Linked DNA regions of Saccharomyces cerevisiae S288C. The protein of the gene in region 3 interacts with the protein of the main gene of each other region in a biochemical or structural test. Each region holds a gene or a part of one and is shown on either strand. Other genes may lie near its edges. The genes, in order: CBF1, CEP3 and CBF2.

Region 1 (3,794 bases), on a different chromosome or scaffold from region 3:
AAGACAAGTGCACTCTTACTTGATCTTCGTCCAATGTTTCTTCTTAAATAATCAAGCAAAGCCCCAAAGTAGAAATAGGCCCGTGATTGTCGCGGACCTTCAAGGATGTGACGTTTTTGCCTGTTTTTTTCAGGTAATCCTCTCCACTACTATCTTTTTTCTTTTCTGCGACCCAAAAAAAAAAAAAGGAAGGGAAAACTAAGATTTTTTGATAAAAGGCGGGAAAACGGAGGTTGTGCGTATTTCTCTTGGCGATTTTTCCATTGAACGTCAAAAAATTCTTGGCAAAACTTTTTTACTAAGCCATTTAGGGATGAAAAACAATAACGTACAAAGACATATTTGAAAGTCCGTCCCGTCCTCTTTTACTTGCTGAGTTTGAGGCTGAGTGATTCTCTAATACCATCCGGGCGGTTTCAAATATGCCGATGGAATATTGATAAAAACTTAACAGAGGTGCTATGGGGCAGAGACGCAGATACATAGGGAGACTCGAAATACATTTAGCTATCTATTTTTAACTCTCAAGCCTCATGTGGATTATCGCTCCTAGTGCTTTTTCTTTCGTTCTCTTGTTTCTTGTGAGTGTGCATATCCTCGTATTCTATTCCCTCCTTCCTTAAAACGCGTTTCATGTACTCGATTTCTTTGTAAGCATTTCCCAGTTCTTCCTGCAGTTTCTCATTTGCACTGGCTAATTGCGATGCGTTTTGCTCGCTAAGCAATTTTTGTAACGTCCACTTTTCGATGTTTGCTTCATCGGTTTCTTTCAATTTTTGAATGTATTCAGCGGCACACGCCAATATTGCTGCCTTACTTGATTCTCTCACGGGCAGGAGGTCGCTTAAAACGTTGATTGCAGTGTTGATGTTTTCGCGGCGACGCCTTTCGACTTCTTTATGGGAGTCTTTTCTTTGCTTTTTCCACTCGTCTGTTGTGGCCAAAGTAGTAGGTTTTCTTCCACGACGACCCGGCTGCATGCTTATATCCTTTTTGAGATCAATGTCAGCGTCATCATTGTCTTCATCATCCTGTTGGTGTTCTGGCCCACGATCGTGTTCTGCCAATGGTATGAGCATGTCGTTTTTAGATTGCTGTGTAGATTCCATTGGTGAAGACGTCATTCCCTCCAGGGAGGTGTTTGGCTTGACTCCTTCATTTGATGGGGTTATGGCTCTTTCCCCATTAAGGGAATCCTTGTGCTCACCATTCGCGTTCGTTTGATTAGATGTGTGGGCATCAGAACTATCTTCCTGGCCCTGGATTAAGTCTGTATAATTGACGGTAGCGGCAACAGCAGCCTCAGCCACTGACGCATCTTCGTCATCACTTCCTTTCTCATCTTTGTTAGACGTCAGTCCGCTTTCATACTGACTTTGAGTCCCTTTTAGCGTAGCCCCTTCGCTCAACAGAGCAGAGTCAATATTTCCGTCATTGCTCTCTTGTGACAACAAGCCTTGATCTCTTTGCTTTTTCCTGGCCTCGCTGTAGTTCTGCTCCTCGTTATAGCCTCTTTTTCTTGCCGAATGGATTTCCTCATCCTCAGTAGAAAGCTTATTATTATTTGCCAGAGAGTTCATCGTTAATAAAAGTGTAGAAAACCGTATTATATTTTAAGCACTTGATGTTGGTACTTGTAGCAGAAATGAAAATGACCGCCAACTAAAATGATTAATTAACAAAGTGTTTATCTTTAAGGTATAATGGTTTACATTCTACATTAAATAAAAAAACGTGATAAGCACGTGGATAATTGTTGTTTGCCCAATACTTTTCTCGTCCGATTTTATTTTTTTTTTGACCTTGGTGGGTGAGACATGGTGGTCCCGAAGGATCCGAGAGGAATGAGAAAAACCGATCACGTACATCGATGTACGGGAAAAATAAATAATAAAATGTTTGTTTATTGTTTGAAGTAAAATATATAAGTACATATGTGGATTTATATGTGTGTGCTTTATTTCATTGTTTGATTTATCTTCCGTTCTTTATCTTTTCCCGGTGGGATATTTTATATAAAAAGCTTATAAGGAAGGGTATGAAAGAATATGACGATACTAAAGCATAAAAGAGGGAATTAAAGAAGTCCTAACGTCTATCTTGAGATAAAGGCGCTCACGGATGACATGTTTGTAACGCTGTTGGTAATGTCCAAGTGGTGGTGAATTACCTTCTTCTTTTTCGAGGATGACACGCTTGGACTTCCGAGGCTTCTCAGTGAATTGCTTGATGACGAAACATTCGGTGCGCTAAAGTTCTTTGTAGAAGCCGGTGTTTCCGATTTGAGTGATAGGTCGCTCATACGCTTATCTAATTGAGTGCCAGCCTTTGCAGGGAGCGGAGTGGGGCCATTATGTGTTGGTGTAGTAGGGGTGGAGTTTAGCATCGACTTTAATTCCTTCATTGTGGAATCATCTTCGCTTAAGTTGTCCTCTACTTTTGTGGAGGTTGGTGTTGGTTTTTCCAATATGCTGTCCACATTAGTCGTGGTAGCCTCTTCAATGACTTTGTCCTTGTCGCCGTTCTTGACCTCATCTTTCTTCAAATTTTCCTTTTTATCTTGCTGCTTAGGTTTGGTGCTTTCATTCCCCCCTTCATCCCCAACATCGTGTGTTTTGGTCTTTGCGCTATCTTTTACCTTGGATTTTTGTTTCAAGGAAGGAGATTCTGCAATTTCCAACATCGATCTTGGTTTAGAAGTGAGCGTTTCCTTTTTTAGGAATGGATTAGACGTGTGAATGACCTCTTGATCATGGGGTGCATCTAATGAATTTTCACTAAAATCATTGGTAGAAGTACTTTTCCTTAATTCAGGAACCCTTACTAAGTCATCATCATTTGGCTCGACACATGTTTCAATTTGTTGGAAAAACGGATCATTAAATAAATCATCCATTGTATATCTAGTTGCAGGGTTCGGGTCAGCCAATCTCCATGCGATACGCGTGGCATCAGTATTCTTGAAATTTCTTGCTAAAGAGTATTCGGAACCAGGACCCGGCTTGTGGCAGCCCTTGTCCCTGAAATGTGGGTTTTGATGATTGATGAAGTTGTCATATGACACTTCAAATTCCCTGAATCTCGCATCAGTGTTACAAGAATCGATGAAGGGGATGATATTGTTAATCATGGTAATCAGCATGATTCCGAGGGCATAGGAATCCATGGCCAACGGATTATAGGGTTTTTGGAACTTTTCGGGGTAGTGCTTCTTGGCATCGAAGTACATTACCTCTGGCGGAGTGTATGGTGGAGAGCCAATCATACCTTGGCATGTTTTCACTGGACTAGTGTAGTCATGAGGTATCACATGGTACCAATCAGAAATACCGAAATCCGTCAATTTGCATATACCTTCTTTAGAAATTAAAACATTTTCGGGCTTCAAATCACGGTGAGCAATACCATTGTCATGACAAAACTTAATACCTTGGGCCACTTGTTTGAAAAGACAATATTTTTCATTGAAGGGAACGTTCTTCCAGCCTGTTCTTTCCATCAGTTGGAAGAGGTCCTTAACACCTAGTTCCATAATAAACCCCCAACCACGAGTTGTATATGTGGTCGTGGGAACTTTTAGAAGATAAAAAGTATTCGTGATGTGAACGTTATGACTTAAATGCTTAGCTATGATGAATTCTTTGGAGCATCTCTTGTAAAACTTCTCGGGTGACTCGTGGTATATCATATTCAGTTTTTTTAGAGCGTAAACATCCTTTTGCCTGTAACTTGATTTAACCTTTCTAACTTCACTAGACCCACCCGAACCAATAGGTTTATTGTCCGTATCAAAT
Region 2 (3,838 bases), on a different chromosome or scaffold from region 3:
GTGATTGTGTTTCATTTGAAAGTGTATGCCCTTTCCTTTAACGATTCATCCGCGAGATTTCAAAGGATATGAAATATGGTTGCAGTTAGGAAAGTATGTCAGAAATGTTATATTCGGATTGAAACTCTTCTACAATAGTTCTGAAGTCACTTGGTTCCGTATTGTTTTCGTCCTCTTCCTCAAGCAACGATTCTTGTCTAAGCTTATTCAACGGTACCAAAGACCCGAGTCCTTTTATGAGAGAAAACATTTCATCATTTTTCAACTCAATTATCTTAATATCATTTTGTAGTATTTTGAAAACAGGATGGTAAAACGAATCACCTGAATCTAGAAGCTGTACCTTGTCCCATAAAAGTTTTAATTTACTGAGCCTTTCGGTCAAGTAAACTAGTTTATCTAGTTTTGAACCGAATATTGTGGGCAGATTTGCAGTAAGTTCAGTTAGATCTACTAAAAGTTGTTTGACAGCAGCCGATTCCACAAAAATTTGGTAAAAGGAGATGAAAGAGACCACGCGCGTAATGGTTTGCATCACCATCGGATGTCTGTTGAAAAACTCACTTTTTGCATGGAAGTTATTAACAATAAGACTAATGATTACCTTAGAATAATGTATAACCTTTAGTAGTGAATCTGCGGTATCATAATAAATGAGATACATCTTAAACAATTTCCAGGAAACAGTAGATATTTGAAAAAGTGCAATAAATTTTTGAAATCTGCTGTTATTTGATCTAAAATCTTCTTCCAACGAATCTACTTTGTATTGAAAAATATCGAGCTCCCTCCTTATAGCATCCAATGTTTTTAAGGGAGGTTTAGAACTCTTGTTCAAGTATTGATCTAAATCTCTGTCTAATGAGATGATTTTCCAATACAAGACCTCTGTGCTGTTTTCTTCCCTGTAAACATCAACGTTAGGCAAATCCTGCAAATATGCTGCATGTTGTAATAGGGAGGATACTTCTGTATGAAGTGCAATTGGTTTGCGTGGCCCCGATTGAAGATAATCGCATCCACACAGGCGATAGAATATTCTTCCCAAGGTTACTTTAGCGATGCTTTCAACGGGGTCATCATTAAGTAAAGGTCTAAAGTCATCCACATGAAAATTTTTAAAGGTATGGATGCACTGTGTTAGGAGCGAATTTGCCAACAACGGTTCATCGTAGGGGAAAGTTGTAGTGGCTAAAATCAGATATGCTTGAACGAGCCTTATATCGGGATGCGCCATGAAATCACATTGTTTCAATTGGAATAATGAGCAGCGTGCAAAATTTTGGCACATGACTAATTGCATACCATCTTCCCAATTGAGCCTTTTGTTGCTACCCAAATATTCATGGAGAGGATATACTGAAAATATTTCTGCTAACTTCTCGACTGGCATATAATAAATGCACATGGTAAAGACAGACCATATTAGTGCGTCCCAGTATTTGCCGTCTACACTGTGATTCTTGTCTGCCCTTCTATCCCAGTACTGTTCCACCCTCAAATATAATTCACTGATATCTCCAATGGAACCAAAATACAAAGCACCTAAGTTTTCCATAGCAAAGTTCATCAATTGGAATGATTGGTCTTTTTGAAGATAATTCATCCAAAACATACATTCTTCAGTATCAGTATCCAAATTAGCTGGTGTTCTAGTAAGATCTCTTTGTTTTGTTTTGTACAGCCCAATATTCGTTATCCAATATTCATAATTTTGCCAGAATAACAATAGGTCAGGGAGATATTCCTTGGAAGATGAAGCCGTTATTAGTTTTGTTGATTTCATACATTCGGAGTCCTGTCCTCTCTTCCTGCAGTTTCCACACGGTATCATACGATCACATTTGACTTTTCGCCTCGTACACACGGAACAGGGATGCTTGGATTTCAGTTGAGTGGTACGGTTAAACATTATTATTAGGATGCAAACTCGTGTTCGTAACTTTTGTCATCACCTGCTCTCTGAAGGTTGGTTATAATATTTCATTCTCTTACGCTTAGCTTACATGGCTGCGCGCACTTCATTTAAAGCCGTAAAAAATAAAGATTTCATAGAATATGAAGCTTTGAATCTCATGTAAACATTTATATAACTATGTAACGAATTATTTATCCAATGAAAGATCCACATGGACTGATTTTATTTGTAAATAGTTATCAACGCCGGTGTCGCCTGATTCTCTACCAATACCACTCATCTTAAATCCGCCAAAAGGAACTTTAGCTTCTTCTTGATTGGTTTGATTGATCCAAACAGTTCCTGCTTTAATATCGCGAGCAAACATGTGCGCTTTCTTGACATCTTTGGTGAAGACCGCAGAGGCGAGCCCGTAGCAAGTATCATTAGCCAGCTTCAGAGCGTCATCATAATTTGTGAACTTGCTAACAACCACAACCGGGCCAAATATTTCATCACGCAGCAACTTAGATGTTTCTGGTACATCAGTGAAGATGGTTGGGGGAATGAAGTAGCCTTTAGCTCCACCAATAGGAAATTCAGAGGTCTGGAACATGTCCAACTTTTCCTCCTTTTTACCACGTTCTATGTAACTTTTGATGCGGTCATACTGTGTACTTGATATAACTGGACCAACGATGCATTTCTCATCAAACGGATCAAATTTTCCTGCAACATCCCACTCCTTCTTTGCAGTTTCTTTAAACTTTTCAACAAACTTGTCGTAGATCGAACTTTGAACATAAACTCTTGAGTTTGCAGTGCAGATCTGTCCCGAATTAAAAAAAATACCATTTGCTACCCATTCTATAGCCTTATCAAGGTCTGCATCTTCAAATACAAGAGCAGGAGACTTACCACCGCATTCTAGTGTGATATCCTTAAGGTTCGATTGGCCGGAAGCTTCCAATACTGAGCCGCCAACCTTAGTACTTCCCGTAAAAGATATTTTGTCGATATCCATGTGGGTTCCTAAAGCTTTCCCCACAACGGAACCATAACCAGGAATGACATTGACAACACCAGGTGGAAAACCTGCTTTTTTAATTAAAGTAGCAAAATAAAGTAGAGATAGAGAGGTATTTTCAGCAGGTTTGATGATAACCGTGTTACCGGCCGCTAAGGCACCTTGCATTTTTCTACAAGCCATAGCTAGAGGATAATTCCATGGAACGATTTGAGCAACAACGCCAAAAGGAACTTTTAGAGTATATGCAAACTTGTTAAAAGTCAATGGAATGGTTTCACCCATATTGAACTTGTCGACCGCCCCCGCATAGTATCTTGTAAGTTCTATAATCTGGGCTAAGTCTTGTTTAGCATTGGAATGGAAAGGCTTACCAGCGTCTAAAGTCTCTAATGCGGCAAGTGTGTCTTGCTCCTCCTCAATAAGTTTTAATAAGTTTGAAAGATAAATACCACGTTGCTCAGAAGATGTCTTCGACCAAACGTTATCAAAAGCAGCCCTGGCAGCTTTCACAGCTTTGTCTACATCCTTTTCGTTAGCTGCTTGGAAGGATGTTATCGGTTCGCCAGTAGCTGGGTTCACAGTTTCGATGGTCTTTCCATCTGATGATGGACAAAACTCATTGTTGATAAACAACCCTAGCGGTTGCTTTAAAGAGATTTTCAATTGTGGGATTTCGATATCAGTATACAAGGTAGGCATTTTTCTTTTGGCTAATTTTCTAAATGTGTATAATCTATATCTCTATGATACAAGTCCAAGGTATAATTACCTGGCATGAGTCAAATTTATTCCCATCCAGATTTGCCATTTTATACAATTAGTTTCTGAGGTATGATCAGTTAAATCTACGCTATTCGTTTGAACAATCTCCCTGTCTCCTCCCTAAACTTACTAATTCCTTAACCCTTAGG
Region 3 (3,600 bases):
TTCTTTTTTAATGGGCTGATTATCACGTATAAATTTATCGGCATCGTCAATCTTAGATTTCTTAATTCTTTCATCCAAGGTAATTTTGAATAAATTAAGCTGATGTAAAATATAGCCTCTTGAAGATTTTTTCATCTCCAATTTCTCAAAAATTTTATTGAATACCGATAATAAAATTTGGAAATTAGAAAGTGTTTGGAACTGCACATATTCGAAACTCTGTTGCTTCAATAATTCATTTAATTGTGTAGTATCAAGTTGACTCATTTGTAATGGCCCCTCAGATTCTTGTTTTTGAGTGGGGTGTGTATCTGGATTATGACTCGAAGCAAATGTCAACTGCGAAGGCCTTTCTATTAAGAGTGAGTAAAAATTTGTCTTATTCTTATAGATTTTATTAAAGCCTGGTAGTATATCGAATGATAAAATGGGTGAACCCTTTGAATGTATAGTTTTGTCATTGAAGTATGATTGAAAATCGGAATTTCCAAAAATGGGGTCCTGGAATATATCATGATTAGGAAAGAATTTGTAAATCCATGGTAGATTGCTCAAAAATCTTTCTCGTAAAACTTCCATTAAATCTAGAAAATCCCTTGAATTCTGAGACAAACCTTCATAATCATGTCTTTTATATTCATCAATCTCCGGAAATATTTGAACTAATAAATCCTTTGGAGGCGGAAAAGGGTCCTTTTTAGCGTTTGTAGAATACGAAGTGTAGGGCGATTTGAAGTTCATGATTTTCTTGAAGTCGAACGGTATTTTGTCAGGGAACGCAAAGGCCTCAGGTTGTTCTAACCAATTTCCATGGTTTTCTTCATTGAAAAATGTTCTAAAAGTGTCTTCATCCCAAGTTGGGTAAACAAGGTTACATTTGTTGAAATATTCTCTTCTTTTATAAGGTAAGTGGCAATACCTAAACACGGTTGTATAATAATTACTAAATGTTTCCTCTCTGGGATAAGTTGTCAGTGATTTGCCTCTTAGTATGGGAATATCTTGTAAAAGTGAGCCATTTTCATCAGCGTTCAAATTGGGAAAGCCATCCCCTTTCGAAACAGATGGTATACCATAGAACCTTAAATACAAATATGCAGCTAATGTAGTTTGAGGGCAGATAAATGGACAATCTTGGGGTAATAATGCAAGGAGTTGATGGTGGCCCGGCGTATCTTTTTTTTCCGCCGAATGAGTTACTTTATGATAAATTATAGCGTCTCTGTCCCTTTTACCGAGCTTGAGGGAACCAAATCGTATCTTTGATCTTTCTTCAAATGAAAGGTTCAAATAACTTCTTAATTGAAAATCCACCAGGAATCTTAATTTTTCAGAACAGGTTTTAAAAAATTTCTCAGAGAGATGGTTAGTTTCTGGGTTCCATAAATTCAAAGACACTTTCAATAATGGTGGACACAGCACTTGAGTATTTGTGTTATTTGTTTCATTAGTGGTGATTGCCTTTTGTGAATCTATCCAATGGGTATGAAGCTTGGTGACTGACTCCAGGTATTTTGTGTCTATATTAGCATTTGGATTTTCATGAACTTTGCACAATTTTGACAAAAAATTGAGACTGCCTATAATTTTCTTCAACGTAGCGATCTTGAATGAATTCTCCTCCTCCTCATCAAGATCTTCAGTCTCTTCTCTTTTCTCTCCAGGCTTATCATCGGTTATTAATGTATCTAACAAAAACCAATGTATCAGTTCAGCAGATATTGGCAGGTCTTTATAGGGGACGCTATTTACAGAATTGTCCTCCGGTGTCGGTATAATTTGATTGAGCTGACACCATTGTATGTACTTAGTATAGTAGGTCTTGTACTGATGCGCAGTTCTTGGCTTTAGGGAGTCCACCAGTTCCTGAAACCTATCTTCTGATGACATAGCTTCTTGCTGTTGCTGAACATCCATAATTTTCATCAATTTTAGTAGAAACAAAATCGATGATCTCATATGTTTTCTACTTTTTCTTGTTTGTTTGTATGCGGTAAAAAAATAAAAGCGAGAGAAAACGCGAAAGGTTCCTGGTATCAAAGTGGGGTAACGGATACCTGGATGTTGAGATACATAACCAAACAAGAAGAATACACTATCCGATTATAGCCCATAACAAATGGCAGTATGCGCACCACTGTTAGCGCATTATTTTGAGATTGTGCTTAACAAACGCAATTACACTGTTGTTTAGCATAAGATATAATAATAACTTTTCACGTTTATCTTGAATGTAATCACTCAAACTCCTTTGTATAAAAGTCCACAGGCATCAATCTACCTATTTGAAGACTCAGCAGCAGAGAGAAAGTTATATAGAGCAAGACAAAGTACACACAAAGAAAGCAGAGAACACAAATATTTGTGGGGAAGAAGCAAGGTGAGTGGCCGCAGTCATTTTCGGATGAATTTGAGGTTCATGTTTTGATGTTTATTTCTATAAGAAAAGTAAGGAGAAGCACCATTGAAGTATAAATATATCAGCACTGAATGCGCCATTACGGCAAAAAGGAAGGGGAATGCAAAAAAATAAAAAATCTGCCTCAGGTTTTAACACTTAAAGGCACGAAAATAAAAATAGAATGCGGCTGCTTACATACCACTAGCTGAGCAAGACAGCTGCCGTTCAATGTTTGTACTTCGCACCATGAGAGTTGTGGATATGTACTTTATGGACGAAGCTGAAACGGCTAACACTATTATTACGCGAACTTTTTCAACACTTTTACTTCGCCACAAGTGCCGAAGATCGAATCTTACCCAAAATCCGGTTATTTTGTACCTATGCAAAAACCCTTCCCCTGATCTATTTGCCATTTAGCCGCCCAAAGTACCGCAGAAGCTGTTACAAACACATCACGGGCCACCGGAAAAAGTATTTTTTTGCTGCTTACCTGAATATATTTGCGCTTAAAAAAATTTTCCGGCGCTTCCGAGTGAAATATACTGCTTAACTGTGTCCGGAGAAACCTCGTGCGGAAAACAGCGCAAACCGCAAAAACCCCGCAATGGGCGCGCTTACTCAAATTCCCTCGGGTGGTCTCACGGGCTGGCCGCAGCGCAGTCGCCTGCCGCACTAAACCTTAAAAATGCGAGAGCGCATGCACGGCGGACGTCGTGGAAGCCTGACGCGTGCGCCCTTCTCCTCCCGAGGGACATAATGTCTTGGTGCCTTACTAGAACCGATTTCTCGAGATGATTCCATAGCCGTTAAATTCATCTCAAAAGAATAGAGAACACAGCAGCGCAGAACGAAAACAAACTGTCGCGTCGCATTTTACTGAACGAGTCATTCGCATATTCTGCTTAGGTGTCTGAGTCTTTTAAACGCATTCTAGGTTTTTCGAAAAAGCCACCGAAGAACACTGCCATCCGCATGCACTGTAATGCCACTGTTTATTTTTTTTTCTTGCTATATATATACATTGCGCATACACCCTTTTGAGGTTTCGTACTAGGATTTTTTTGTATTTGTTTATGTTCTTTTTTCCTGAAGACATCAAGAAGAAATAAGAAAACAAATATATCATTTTATTGTTTGTGTTTATAGAGAACAATATACAACTTCCTTCTCCTACTATATCAAGTTTAATATTTAAT

The links.
Region 1: the proteins of CBF2 (region 3) and CBF1 form a complex in vitro, tested with the Saccharomyces cerevisiae proteins (2 studies listed by BioGRID).
Region 2: the proteins of CBF2 (region 3) and CEP3 form a complex in vitro, tested with the Saccharomyces cerevisiae proteins (4 studies listed by BioGRID).

What each region holds. Positions count from the first base shown.
Region 1 is NC_001142.9:546,545-550,338, reverse strand, and holds CBF1 (Cbf1p), read right to left. Parts: upstream 1,581-3,794; coding exon 525-1,580; downstream 1-524. Other genes in the region: protein kinase PTK2, read right to left, coding at 2,096-3,794. UniProt on the Saccharomyces cerevisiae protein: Required for chromosome stability and methionine prototrophy. It is involved in chromosomal segregation. Binds to a highly conserved DNA sequence (5'-RTCACRTG-3'), called CDEI, found in centromeres and in several promoters.
Region 2 is NC_001145.3:597,247-601,084, forward strand, and holds CEP3 (Cep3p), read right to left. Parts: upstream 1,913-3,838; coding exon 86-1,912; downstream 1-85. Other genes in the region: aldehyde dehydrogenase (NAD(+)) ALD3, read right to left, coding at 2,106-3,626. UniProt on the Saccharomyces cerevisiae protein: Acts as a component of the centromere DNA-binding protein complex CBF3, which is essential for chromosome segregation and movement of centromeres along microtubules. CBF3 is required for the recruitment of other kinetochore complexes to CEN DNA.
Region 3 is NC_001139.9:765,788-769,387, reverse strand, and holds the start of CBF2 (Cbf2p), read right to left. Parts: upstream 1,960-3,600; coding exon 1-1,959.